2 linked regions of the Drosophila melanogaster genome follow. The protein of the gene in region 2 purifies or fractionates together with the protein of the main gene of each other region. This does not show direct contact. Each region holds a gene or a part of one and is shown on either strand. Other genes may lie near its edges.

Region 1 (3,897 bases), on a different chromosome or scaffold from region 2:
ACTCCAAGGATCCAAAGGAAGCGGATGGATCTACTGAAGATGTCCAGGCAGAAAGTTCTAAGAAAAAAGTCGATACTCCCTCTAAAAAGGGCAAAGATGACGCAAATCAGGAAACTAAAAACAGTCCACAAAGCACGGAGAAAACGAAAAACAATAATGCCTTAAAAAATAACAAAAAAGAGCCTAAAAACGTGCAAAATGGATTCCAAAAACCCCAAAATCAAGCAAATAAAAGTGCAAAGACAAAGTCGAACCAACCATTTAAAACTACGGAAAGTGCGCCTGCAAAAGCAGAAAAATCAAATGGTAATAATCCTTTCAATAAGCCACAATCGAAATCCCAACAAAGGCAGGAACTGCCACCAATTCATAAAAATCAAGGTGGAAACAAAAAGGGACCGAGAAACGCTAACGGCACCAATCCCTTTAAGAAATCAAACCAAAAGCCAAGTGCACCCTTCCCAGCTAAGAAAACGAACAACTTTAAGGCGAAAAACAAGCAAAATAACAATAGTGGAATAACCGACGATCGATTAAAGGCATATGGCATAAATCCCAGAAAATTCCACAAGCGGGAAAAATATGGAAAAAAGGATAACTAAAGAGTTATGATAAATCTAAGAATAAAAGTTCATATATAGTTATACATTTTATAGTTACATTTTATGTACATATGATAACATATTAAAAACCAACACAGCACAATGAACTCTGATTTGATCAGTTATTCTGCGGCAGTCACGTCATCATCGGTGGCCACTCCATCATCATCATCATCATCGTCCTCGGTGCTCTTCATGCGATCCAATTGAAGACGCCGCTCTTGGATGCGAATGCATTTGGGGCAAATCATATTTTTGCGCGTGAGGCAAACTCGGTGGAAGATGGAATTGCACTGATCACACTTGATGCAGCCATCGTCGAAGGGAAAGATCACCTCGTTGTTGCTACAAATCTCGCAAATGTACGCTTGGGCAAGGCACATGGGGCAGGATCGTATGTGATCATTGAATGCCTTGAAAACTCCTTGCAGAAATTCGCTCAGCGCTCCAGATTCCACCTGGCTGAGATCACTTAGGGAATAGAACTCATTTGACTGGGCCAGATGTCGCCGGACACCCAGTTGCTGATCCACCAGCTTCAACTCGCTGGCAATCTTGCAGGCAGCCAGATAGTGGCGCATATGCACCAGATTTTGGCGAAGTTTCTTTACCGCACACAATTTTTCTACGAACACAAACAGCTTGGGATTGTCCTCCTCCAAGCGAATGAGCGGTTTATTTAGGAACAACCTAATCTCTTGGAGCGCCGTGCGCGACACTCTGCGTGGCGAAAAGTCCCAATTGTGGATAATGCGGGCTGGTATAAAGTTACTGTCGTTCCAGTTGCAGCGAGGGCAGTAGTACAATCCACTATAGTCGCATAGACGCGGCTCAATCCAGGTATTTTCTACGAGGAAGGAGTCTAATTATTCGGAACCAAAAGAGTAGCCTTAACTTACTTATATTTAGCATCGTCCCGCACTCGGCGCACTTGTATCCCTGGGAGGCGAGTCCGATTTCTGGACATATCTCCGAAATGGGATGCTGCCGCTCTGAAACCAGGACATGGGCACAAACCCTCTTCACGCCATCGATGCACTTCTGATGGACCAGGAATCCGCAATCGCTGCACACGTACGAGTTCTGCACCACACTCCAAATAATGGTGGTGCAGTGGTCACAGTAGTTCCTCTTGGCGGCTGCCTGCAGACGATTCCGTTTGCCATGATGCGGGTGATGGGGCACAAAATGATGACCCACCACAGCACGTATGGCATTCATAACTACCATGTCCGACGATAGGGAATGCTGCTCCTGGGCCTCCTCCAGCTCCTGCAGTGAGTATCGCAAATCTACCAGGTGCCGCACCAACCAGCGACGCTCCTCGCTGAGTTCCTCGCTCAGCAGGACGAGATCTCTGCAATGGGCGATGGCCGCCTGCAAATCCTGGATATTGGCATCGCTGGTGAAGATTAGGCGCCATTGCTCGCGCACCAAGGACGCGGGAATGGGCAACGCCCTGTACTCCGCACCTTGTGGACCACTTTCCTCGGAGCCTCCGGCCTCGGATCCAGATCCAGTGGAGCCAGAGCCTCCAAGGCCAACTGTTGATCCCAGCGTGGATGAGGCGTGTAACAGGTTGCTGGCGCTCTCGTTAATCAACTGCGCCACCGTGCCCGGAATGCTCGTGAGACTGTCCTTCCAGGAGCTCATTTTTGGGGAAGAACAACAAAACAAGTCTTTGTGTGTTTTTTTAGCGACCAGGGATGCGAGCAATTGGTGCAGATGAGCGAACTAGTTATCGTTCACGGGGCAAACTGCAGGTGGTTGTACGCATCCCTGGAATGCACCTTAATACAGTGAAAGAAAAAATGTGAGGGTTAATTATTTATAAATATTTTGAATTTAACTTTTAATATTTTTAAAATATGATACAATTTGAAACCATATTCTGAAATATGTCAAGCGTGGTTTGCATAAAGCAAATATTTTTGTTACCATATTTTACCATTTAATATTAAATTGTAATTTAAGAAATCTAACAATCTATTGTGTTTATTCCAGATAAAAATGCCTATTTTTAACTTGAAAATTCGTCTGCTAAAAACTGTAGGCTTTAAAACTAGTATCAATAAGCCCTTTATTCTATTGTTCCTTCTATTTACATATATTCTGTAAGTAGAGGAAAATAACTAGAAAACCAAAAATATATTTTGAAAAATTGAAAAGAGAGTGACTTGTGTTGAATACGTTTATTGTTCGATGGTCACAAGGTGGACTGACAAGCTGGGTAAAAATTGAGTTAAATTACGATCTCTATGGGGTAAGTGGATGCAGACAAAGATATAACAAGGAAAACATATGTAATCTATCCAATATCGTTGGTTCGTTTTGGGGTTCGTATTCGTTGGGTCCAGGATCTAGACCACATTGGTGTGCTCGTCGCGATGGAAGATCTTCACGTCGACGAACTTGAAGTTGTGGACATCGAAGTAGTAGTCATGCTTCACCGGCCTGTTGAAGGGGAAACCGAAGGGCAGGGCGTCCACGTAGCGGGAACCGTGTCCCACGCCGCAGCTGACCACCGGATCGTAGCCAGTGAACTGGGCAACCTCGGGCTGGTGGTACGGGTAGACCATGTAGAAGAACTGGAACACCTGGCCGCCCTTCTTGCCGCGCGGCAGCATCATTCGGTTGGGCACGCCGCAATGGGCCTCCGACTGATCCAGCTTGAACTTGTAGTCACTGTTGGTGGCGTCCATCAGCTTCTGGTAGAGCTCCAGGTAGGTGGTGCGATCGTTCACCCAGAAGGAGAAGTCACCGCTGGCGCGCTTGATGTGGTTAACGCCCGCCTCCAGATGCACCTTGAAGTGCTCCAGCTCGAAGAAGTTCTGGTAGTTGTGCTCCAGTGGGATCTCGTGTCCGTGCTCATCGTACTTGGGTCCAATGAAGACCTTCACAACGGCATCCTGAGCCTTGTCCGAGGTCACGTCCAGGGTGAACTCGAAGGGCTTGTGGTTGAGACGCTGCTGGCGGGCCTTGATCACATAGCTGGATCCCTTGTAGTGGGAGTTCCTGCCGAAGGTGTACAACGGATCGGCGGATCCCTCAACGGCGGGCTCCACATTGACGGCATTGCTGATGTCCGAGTCGAAGTGCTCGAAGTAGGTGGTCAGACTTTCGGGCATGTGGACGGCATCGATGTGGACACCCTCGAAGGCGTAATCCTTCTTGTGGTACTCCGGATAGGTCTCCATCAGATGCCAGTAGTGGCTGACAATGGTCTTGTATACCTCGTAGAAGATCGGATCGCGCATAGAGGTGTCGTAGTGCATGAAAAGGCCAGGGAAGCTCT
Region 2 (8,080 bases):
CATATCGCCATCAATCATTGGTGGAGAAAATTAAATTGCAACCGATTTATCATAATTAATCTAGATCTCGTCTATCTATTATTAAGATTAAACATTTATTTACATTCGTTACGGATTCGATTCGATTCGGATTCGATTGCTCGTTTTTAGTATCTCTAGGTATGCGATCGTGTGTGAACAAAATGTATATGTCCCATTTGCCACATAGCCAAGATTGACTATATATAGCCTAGCCAGCACATATGCTCTCTCCACCTATTTACTTAATTACGTATAAAAATACTTAGAGACTGAGCCACAAAACACAAACACAAACGTAAACAAAAACTCAATTTACATATTTACAAGACAACGCGACATCGACGTCGTTAACCTCCGCATCCAGCAATTTCTACCGGGCTCCTCCAATGTGGGCGGTTACTGTGACGTGGAGGCGTGGCCTGTAACGAGATGATGACTACGACTCCTGAGCTGATGGTGGCATTAAAAATCACCGACTTACCCGGCCACCAGGAATAACGGGGCTCCCATGGCTCCAGACATCGAACATAAGTTGCCGCTCGTCTTTGGCTCGGCTTAGCGGGTTGAGAGCGGGGTGCGAATCTGGAGGCTGGAGGTGGGGCCCAGCAGGACGACCAGCAGGACCGCCAGGAGCAACAGGGGCAGAGGGGGCAGGAGCAGCCTCGAGCCCAGCTCGTGCTGCATGGCCGCGTGCTGCTCACTTTTAATGATATGCACAAAGACGCTGTCAGAATCTGTTGGGAAAAGGTGGCAAAAGGGTGGGTTAGAAAATTGTAAAATAAATATTTTAGGTCGTTACTTATTAAAGGGCTGAATTTAAATATTAAAGCTGGCATACTCTGTACGAAAAGCAGTGAAAACAATTATTTGAATGTATAATGTATGGCTGCTTTAGCAAGAGTATTATTAGCTATTGTAATAACATTAGTTATTTTTTAAAAACTGTATCTCCTTGAATAAATAACAATAATAAATGTGCACTGCTATTTTCGAATAAAATTTCATAATTGAGTTTATATGCATTCAATATGTAAACTCAATTATAGAATATTATTTTATGCAATAAGCCACCATTAACTTAATGCCTTGTAGCTATGGATAAAGTGAAATCTGTATATTTTACATTGTAACTGATCACAATGTATACTACACCCATAAATAAGTAAGCAATTGAATTAATTTGATTTTCAGTATTTGATGGTTAATTTACGATGTTTATATGTGCAACTACTTTTCGATAGTCATGTGCATGTGTAAATATTTTATACGAGTCAGTTGGTGGCGTGTTTCAAATGTAATTAAGTATTTAATGAAATCGAACTTTCGTTGTAAAACTGTCAGTTCCATCTTGGACTAATTGGATTTAAATTAAATTTTCGACACACACACCTTAATCGCATATGTATTCACCTAGTGTCCTTAATCTAACAGTTCATGCATTTCTAAAGGACTCACTCGAGTTGTCCGCGGAGCAGGTGTAGTTGCCCGAGTCCGTGTGCTGGACTCGCGATATCACCAGGTTGCTGGTCTTCATCTGCTGCTCGGACTCTACGCGGATGCCACCCCGCGCCGAGTCGCTTACCAGCTCCGTGTCCTTGTGCCACAGCATGTGCGTGTAGGGTCCTGGAGCCTGGGGTGCGATGCACGTCAGATTGATGTCGCTGCCACTCTGGATGAACAGCTCGCGGTTGGCCAGGATCTGAGCCTTGGAGGCTGTCAAAGAGCGGCGTCGTTTTCGATTAATGGGTATGTCAACAAGTTGCCTATTGGGTGGATCCATAGCCCTCAACCCCTCAACTTCTCAATCCCTATTCCCATGCCCCATCCTAGTTTGTCGTGTGATGTACTGGGGTGTTTGATAAACTAATTTGTCAAAGTAATCCCAGCCCTTCGCGCCCTTGCGCTGCTGTCTAAACGGAGATGTAAGCAACGTCTTACAAGACCGCCAATCGATTGAGATTCAATGGGAGTAATAAAACAGGAACTTGGGGCTGAATTTCGATTGAATAATTATGATGGGTCATGAAAGGGTTCGGAACAAACTTAAGCGGATTCAAATGGATTTGGAATGTTTAGTGGTATGTACATACCAACAGAGAATTATTTGAAGCCCTTCGATTCGTTATGAACACAAGGATATTATCAGTAAATATAGTTTTGGATATATTCATTTGCTCAAAAGTGACAAGTGTCTTGTTCATAGCTCTTCTTAGTGAAAGATACTTACTCACGACGACCAGCTTGTAGGCCAGACTGATCTTGGGCTCCGTGGACACCTGGCACTCGTAGACGCCCGCATCTCTCTGCTGCACCGAAACGATCTTGAGCACCCACTCGTCGGAGTTGTCGATGTGCCGCGCCAGAAAGCGCTGATCGTTCGTGTAGGTCATGATGCCGATGGTCAGGATGTGGAGATCCCGTTGTCGTATCCAGGACACCGCCCTGTCGCCCAGGTGGCGAACGCGGCAGTGGAGACGGGCGGTGGTGCCCAAAGCTGCAATAACCTCCCGATCTGTTGTGTTGTCAAACACGGGATCGATGGCATCGTAATTATCTGGTATCAAGTTGGACAATTCCTCGGCGGCGGCCAGATGGCCTGTAAAACAGTAAACAGATTATAATTATTTAAAAGGTTGAATAAGTTGAATAAGTTTTAAGAACCCAAGGATATGAATAACCCTCTAAACGTCAAATTTATCCCCGCGGAAACAGAATCTATGCCAATATATATTGTTAGTACATAAAGGGCCTAGATATTCAAGCTGCCCATTAAATATTCCCTGGGTAGTTCATTCCACCAGTTGTATCTGAACGTCAATCTAAACGTATTCAAGTGCATTTCAGGACCTGAGCCCAGGAGGCAGGCAGGCAGATGAACACAGGAAGCGTCGGATAGATAGACAGTTAGACTGGCAGATAGATAGATGAATAGATAGATATGCAGACGGACAGACAGACGGACGGACAAACGGACAGATGGATGGTCGATTGGTTGGCTCAATCAGCTGGCGGGGATGCCTCAGCTGGCAATCAGCATTCATTTGATTAACGAGTATTTGTGCTTAATTTATGCCGGAGCTTAAGCCTACACCCCTTTGGAGCCATTCCCGCGTTTATGATCCATCGCTGGGCGGCCAAGTGATTTATGTGGGTGGTGGTGCTATTGGCGCTATTGTTGCTGCAGCTCCACCGCCCAAATGGCGATGTATTAGCCAACTAATGCGCTAATAATCCATGAGTGCCTAAACAAATACAAACACAAATACAGCTGTGCGTGGGATGTGAAGGAGAAGGGACTGGGTACTACTCGATTGGTTATGTGGATATGTGGATGTGGAGTGGATAAACACATATTGATTTATAGGCCAGGATCCATATTGTGTGCGAGTGTGGTTGAGCAAATTTAGCTATCAAATATCAGGCAATAAAATGACGTTTAACACTTAATTGAAACTGTTGATCCGCAGCCGATGACTATGACGATGCTTTAGCTTTCGCTATGGCTGTTGCTTTTGCTTTTGCTTTTGGCCAGGCCAAGGCACTTGAACTGAAATTGCTTTTTATGCTGGCCACAAAATAAAAAAAAAAAACTCCCTCGCACACACGTTCCCGCACAACGGCAGGAAATATGTAACAACATAAAATTTTTTAATAAAAGTTGCGTATTTACATACAAAGTGCGGGGTGGTAAGTTGGAAAATTGCCGGGTCGAACCGCAACCGCAGCTTCAGTGGCCATGGCTAACGCTTCTGCAGGACCTCAACATCCACATCCACAACCTCCGGCTCTTCCTTCATCACCATATCCCCATCATCCCTAGCTGCAGTTCCCCAAGCGGGCCCTAAACTGAGTTCAGGTGCCATAAATTACAAATGAGCAATTGCAGCTGCTCCTGGGTCCCGCATCAAATTCACTCGCAGCAGAGAGATGCGAAATAGATGGGATCATAAACAATTCCTGACAGCTGCGAGTGCAGATTACCTAATTCGGATCCCCTTTTAGAGATCAGTTATCCATTAGGCAGCTTGCTCCCTTCCGTTGCAAAAAGCGAAGCGGAATTTAACTTTGTGTTGAACCACATTAAACCACATTAAAAGTTTGCAGGATTTAAATGAATAAACCATGTATGCAACTTAAAAAAAAAAAAACATCTGTGTGAAAAAATAACTAACCGGAAAAGTTACTTTCCATAAGTGTAATTTAATAGGCAAATATGTGTTGAGGGATTTGAGAAATATGAAAAAATGGAAATACAAATTCACAAAGTACTAATTGTATGAAATTTAATAAAACATGCTTTTTACGTTTAAGCTTATGTTGCACAAAAAATTATAAATCAAATATAAATCAAATATGGCGAAAAAAAGAGTTAATTTCTTTTATTCAAGTCATAATCGTTGTGCTCGTTTAACTCCTTTAATCTGAACTCCTTTAACTTTAACTCCTTTAATCTATCTAAAAGTAATTTTAATTAAGGTATTAGCAATTTAGTTTTTTAATTTCATTAACCGCTTAAGCAGTTGAGTATTTAAAGTGTGTCCTCTGCCCCAACTGCGAGATCAGTGACCCCTTGTAATCCCCGCCATATCCCTCAATCTAATTAGATTGCTTCGCGCTTCCCGATTCCCCACTTCCGATTCCGATTCCCAATACCATTCGCTCTGCGATTCTCATTTATTATGCCATTTCTGATACGACTGCCCAGTCCCCGGTTGGCTTAACCCTTTGAGTGTTGTCTGATTAGATTTAAATCCGTACTCACCGAAGTATTGGCTGCTGCGCCGGCTCTGCTTGTCGACTGGAGCGGTTAATCCCATGATCACGAGCAGCGCCATAAAGTATTCCACCAACATTTCATGCGCAATTTGTGGGGCTCTCGAATTACTTATAACTGCAGCCAGGACGAAGGACCACCAGCGAAGAGCAGGAGCAAAGTGGGTAGGGCGACAACAGAAAAGTAATTAAAATAAATGATGGCAATCGCGGAGAACTCGACTCTACTCAATTCAACTCGAACCGAACCGAAGCGACTCAAATCGACTCGAAAGGCAACACACAAAAGATGAAGCTAAAGATGAAGGATACTCGCCACCAGCCCCGCCCACTTTTTAGCCCACAATTGTGCAGAAACAATAACTGAAAGGGATTAGGCTCTGGGCTCCGTCTTATCGGTGCTCCGGAAACCGCAGCACATTCATTTAAACTGATGACAAGACCGCAGTGCGGTCGAGTTTTCAATCACCATGACGCCCACAGGACAAGAACGAGATGAAGATGTCCTTGCGAGTGTTTGGCAGGGGGATGGGGGGTGCCTTCCGTTGGGTCGTTAGAAGGATCCTGGAAGTGGAGGGGGGCTGGTGGTTGGATTCGAGCTTTTGGTAATTTCTTCATTACACACTAAGCTGTCCATTCAATTGCTTCTGGCCAACGGATGAGGAAAAGCAGGAGCATTTACCTCGCCCGCAGGCAGCAATTTCGCTCTGGTCACGTTCTGATAATACACTTAATTATATTCGACAGGGACGTGGAGCTAAAAAGAAGGAGGAGGAACTGAGGGACTAGCGCAAATGAGGAGCTACCTTTTCCTATGAGCGGACTAGATTCGGTGGCCGTGGTCGAAGTAAATGTAGCGCGAACTGCGTGCCGCCATCTCATGCGCAACGTAACGCATTCGAGCGCGTTGCGTTTGTGTCCTTTTCCGCGGAGCGAGCAGGTCCTTGGCTTACGTAACAGCCCTTACGCTACGTAAGGAGCACTCATCCACACACTCCGACACACTCCAGCACCATCACCAGCACCACCAATTCGCAAAATCAGTCACTCCAATGACGCGATTCCAATTCCAATTCCGATTCCGATTGAGACGCCAGATACGAGATACGAGATACGAAAGCCAGCCGAGCAGGCCGAACACGAGTCACGGCTAGCGATTTCCCAGAGTCACGGGTAGCAGTTCACGGGTCACGGGACACAGTTCCCCGAGTTTCCGGTTTGTCAGCGCTCGTTGCGTGTGTGTGGCTTGAGGCGCGGTAAACAACTGAACGGAGCTGCTCCAGCGAATCCTCCAACAATATGCAAATCTCCAGGAGAAGCAGTGTCCTTGCGCCGGCGCAACAGCAACATGTTGCGGCAACATTTATTGAAGCCAAATTGAATGGTAAGCCATCGTATCATATTAGGAGGCGTGGGTGGGTTGTCGGAGGGTTAAGACCTGCTCCTGCATGTCCTTAAAGTTCATTGGAGGTGCGTGGCTGAATGTGCTTATGAAATATTTAGTAGGGTACGTTTGATTTGTGTCACGCAAACGGCAGACAGCAGCAGATCGGCCGGCGACAAGAAAGGAGCAACAATGGAGCAGCGAGCACCAGCACCAGCAATAATGATACACAAAAACACAAAACAACATCAATAATAGAAGGCGGAAAACTCATGCATGACAAGGCGCCTTTTTAAGCCAGCTTTTTGCAATTGAAAGTGGCAGTGGCAGCAACAGACAACCACACACACACTCGCACAGCACTCGAGTGCCACGCATTGTGCGCCCATTGTGTCAAAGCGGAAACGGATATGAAGCGGCCATGGTGCTGTTGCTGCTGCTACTGCTGCTCCCTACTCATGCCGCGCCCCATGTTGCTCATGTTGCTGTGCTGCCGTTGGGCGACTTATCAAAATCGATGAGGCAACATATGGTCGATTTTAATTTTCTAACATATCTCTCTGCACGCACACAGACAGGCGACACACACGAGCCATTGACACGAGACAAGCCACTGGAATACACACACACACACATGCAGACTGGCATCCTCACCTCGGAAAGTCCTTCTGCCTTTTCCACACCCTCGTCGACTGCAGTACCCCCCTGAAATCCGTTTAGCATATTTTCTTTGGAAATTGAATTTCCAAGTTATTATAAATATTTCTCCAATAAATGCAATTTGAGTGGAATTCTTTCTTCGTCGCGTCGTGTGCTTCGACTTCCTCACCTACTCCTGTTTTAGCATATCCTGGCGAATCAAATAGACAACAGGACGAGCGGGCGCCTCAGTTGGGATAGACCACCCACGTCGCTCATATTATTTTACACTAACAAGCCAAACATTCCTTAAATTTAACAAGCGGCGACATTTTGCCAGCCCCTCATCCATCTCTTTTAGCCCTAAGTGAATTCTGTTTTCATCGCTGGCTGTCGGTGAATAGGGGTGCAGAATTATGAAAAATGTTTACTATATATAGGGGGGAAAGTCACCAGAAATTGTTGCAAGAATGTAAGGCGCTTAAAGTGCGGTTGTGGGCCACGATAACTTTTGATACGCTGCCAGTTGCCCAGAAAAGTATGCTTTAATATGTTAAGTTCAATATTTCAAAGCAGTCCGATGAAAGGATCACTTTCGCTGAAACTTCTCGAGTGGAACGACAAGTGCCATTCCGTGTAGTCTTCTTTTGATAAACAGTGATAACTCAGCTGCTTTGACATTCTCTTTTTTTTTTTTTTTGAGACTATAAAGTTTCGAATGGGTTTTTAAACATTGCTAAAAGAAGTTGGTGTTGAACAAACTTTACAACCAGTTCTAAGAGGACAGGAACTTTAAATGAAATGCAACAGAACGCTACTTTCGTGCTTGAATTGCACTCTAGGGGCGTGCGCTATAGGGAATCCCTACTGTATTTGTTATGACTGTGGGGTTTCGTCGCTTTGCGTCTTCGATTTGGACATTGATTGCATACAGAATTGATGGAAACGCTGCCATTCGCTGCTCCTACCTGGCTGCTCCTTCTGCATCCCCTCCCCTGCCTTATCCCAACCACTTTGGAAGCCCTTCCGCTGGGAAGTGCTGTGCTGGGGAAACGGTGATGGGGATGTGGATGTGTGGTGCGGGATGGTGGATGGGGGGCGACTGTCGTGTGTAAAATTGATAACTTTGTTTGTGTAAACAGCGACGCGACATATCGCCCTCCATGGGAGTTTCCTCTCCATTCCGCATCCTGTGCCCCTCCACCTTTACCATTCCCACTCCCTTCCCTCCACCATGCCAGACCGACAAATTTTCCAACATGA

Evidence for each region. Proteins that work in one complex are often made in the same cells at the same time.
Region 1: the proteins of dpr5 (region 2) and DEF8 purify together in Drosophila melanogaster (affinity purification with mass spectrometry, with the first as the bait; one large-scale study listed by BioGRID). This does not show direct contact.

What each region holds. Positions count from the first base shown.
Region 1 is NT_037436.4:12,130,581-12,134,477, reverse strand, and holds DEF8 (differentially expressed in FDCP 8 homolog), read right to left. Parts: upstream 2,333-3,897; 5' UTR 2,256-2,332; coding exon 1,502-2,255; exon of another isoform or gene 1,450-1,501; coding exon 725-1,449; 3' UTR 644-724; downstream 1-643. Other genes in the region: CG5645 (uncharacterized protein), read left to right, coding at 1-602; Lsp2 (larval serum protein 2), read right to left, coding at 2,963-3,897.
Region 2 is NT_033777.3:11,497,949-11,506,028, reverse strand, and holds dpr5 (defective proboscis extension response 5), read right to left. Parts: upstream 6,046-8,080; 5' UTR 5,677-6,045; coding exon 5,601-5,676; intron 4,960-5,600; exon of another isoform or gene 4,913-4,959; coding exon 4,784-4,912; intron 2,618-4,783; coding exon 2,249-2,617; intron 1,735-2,248; coding exon 1,477-1,734; intron 756-1,476; coding exon 577-755; 3' UTR 503-576; intron 441-502; 3' UTR 78-440; downstream 1-77.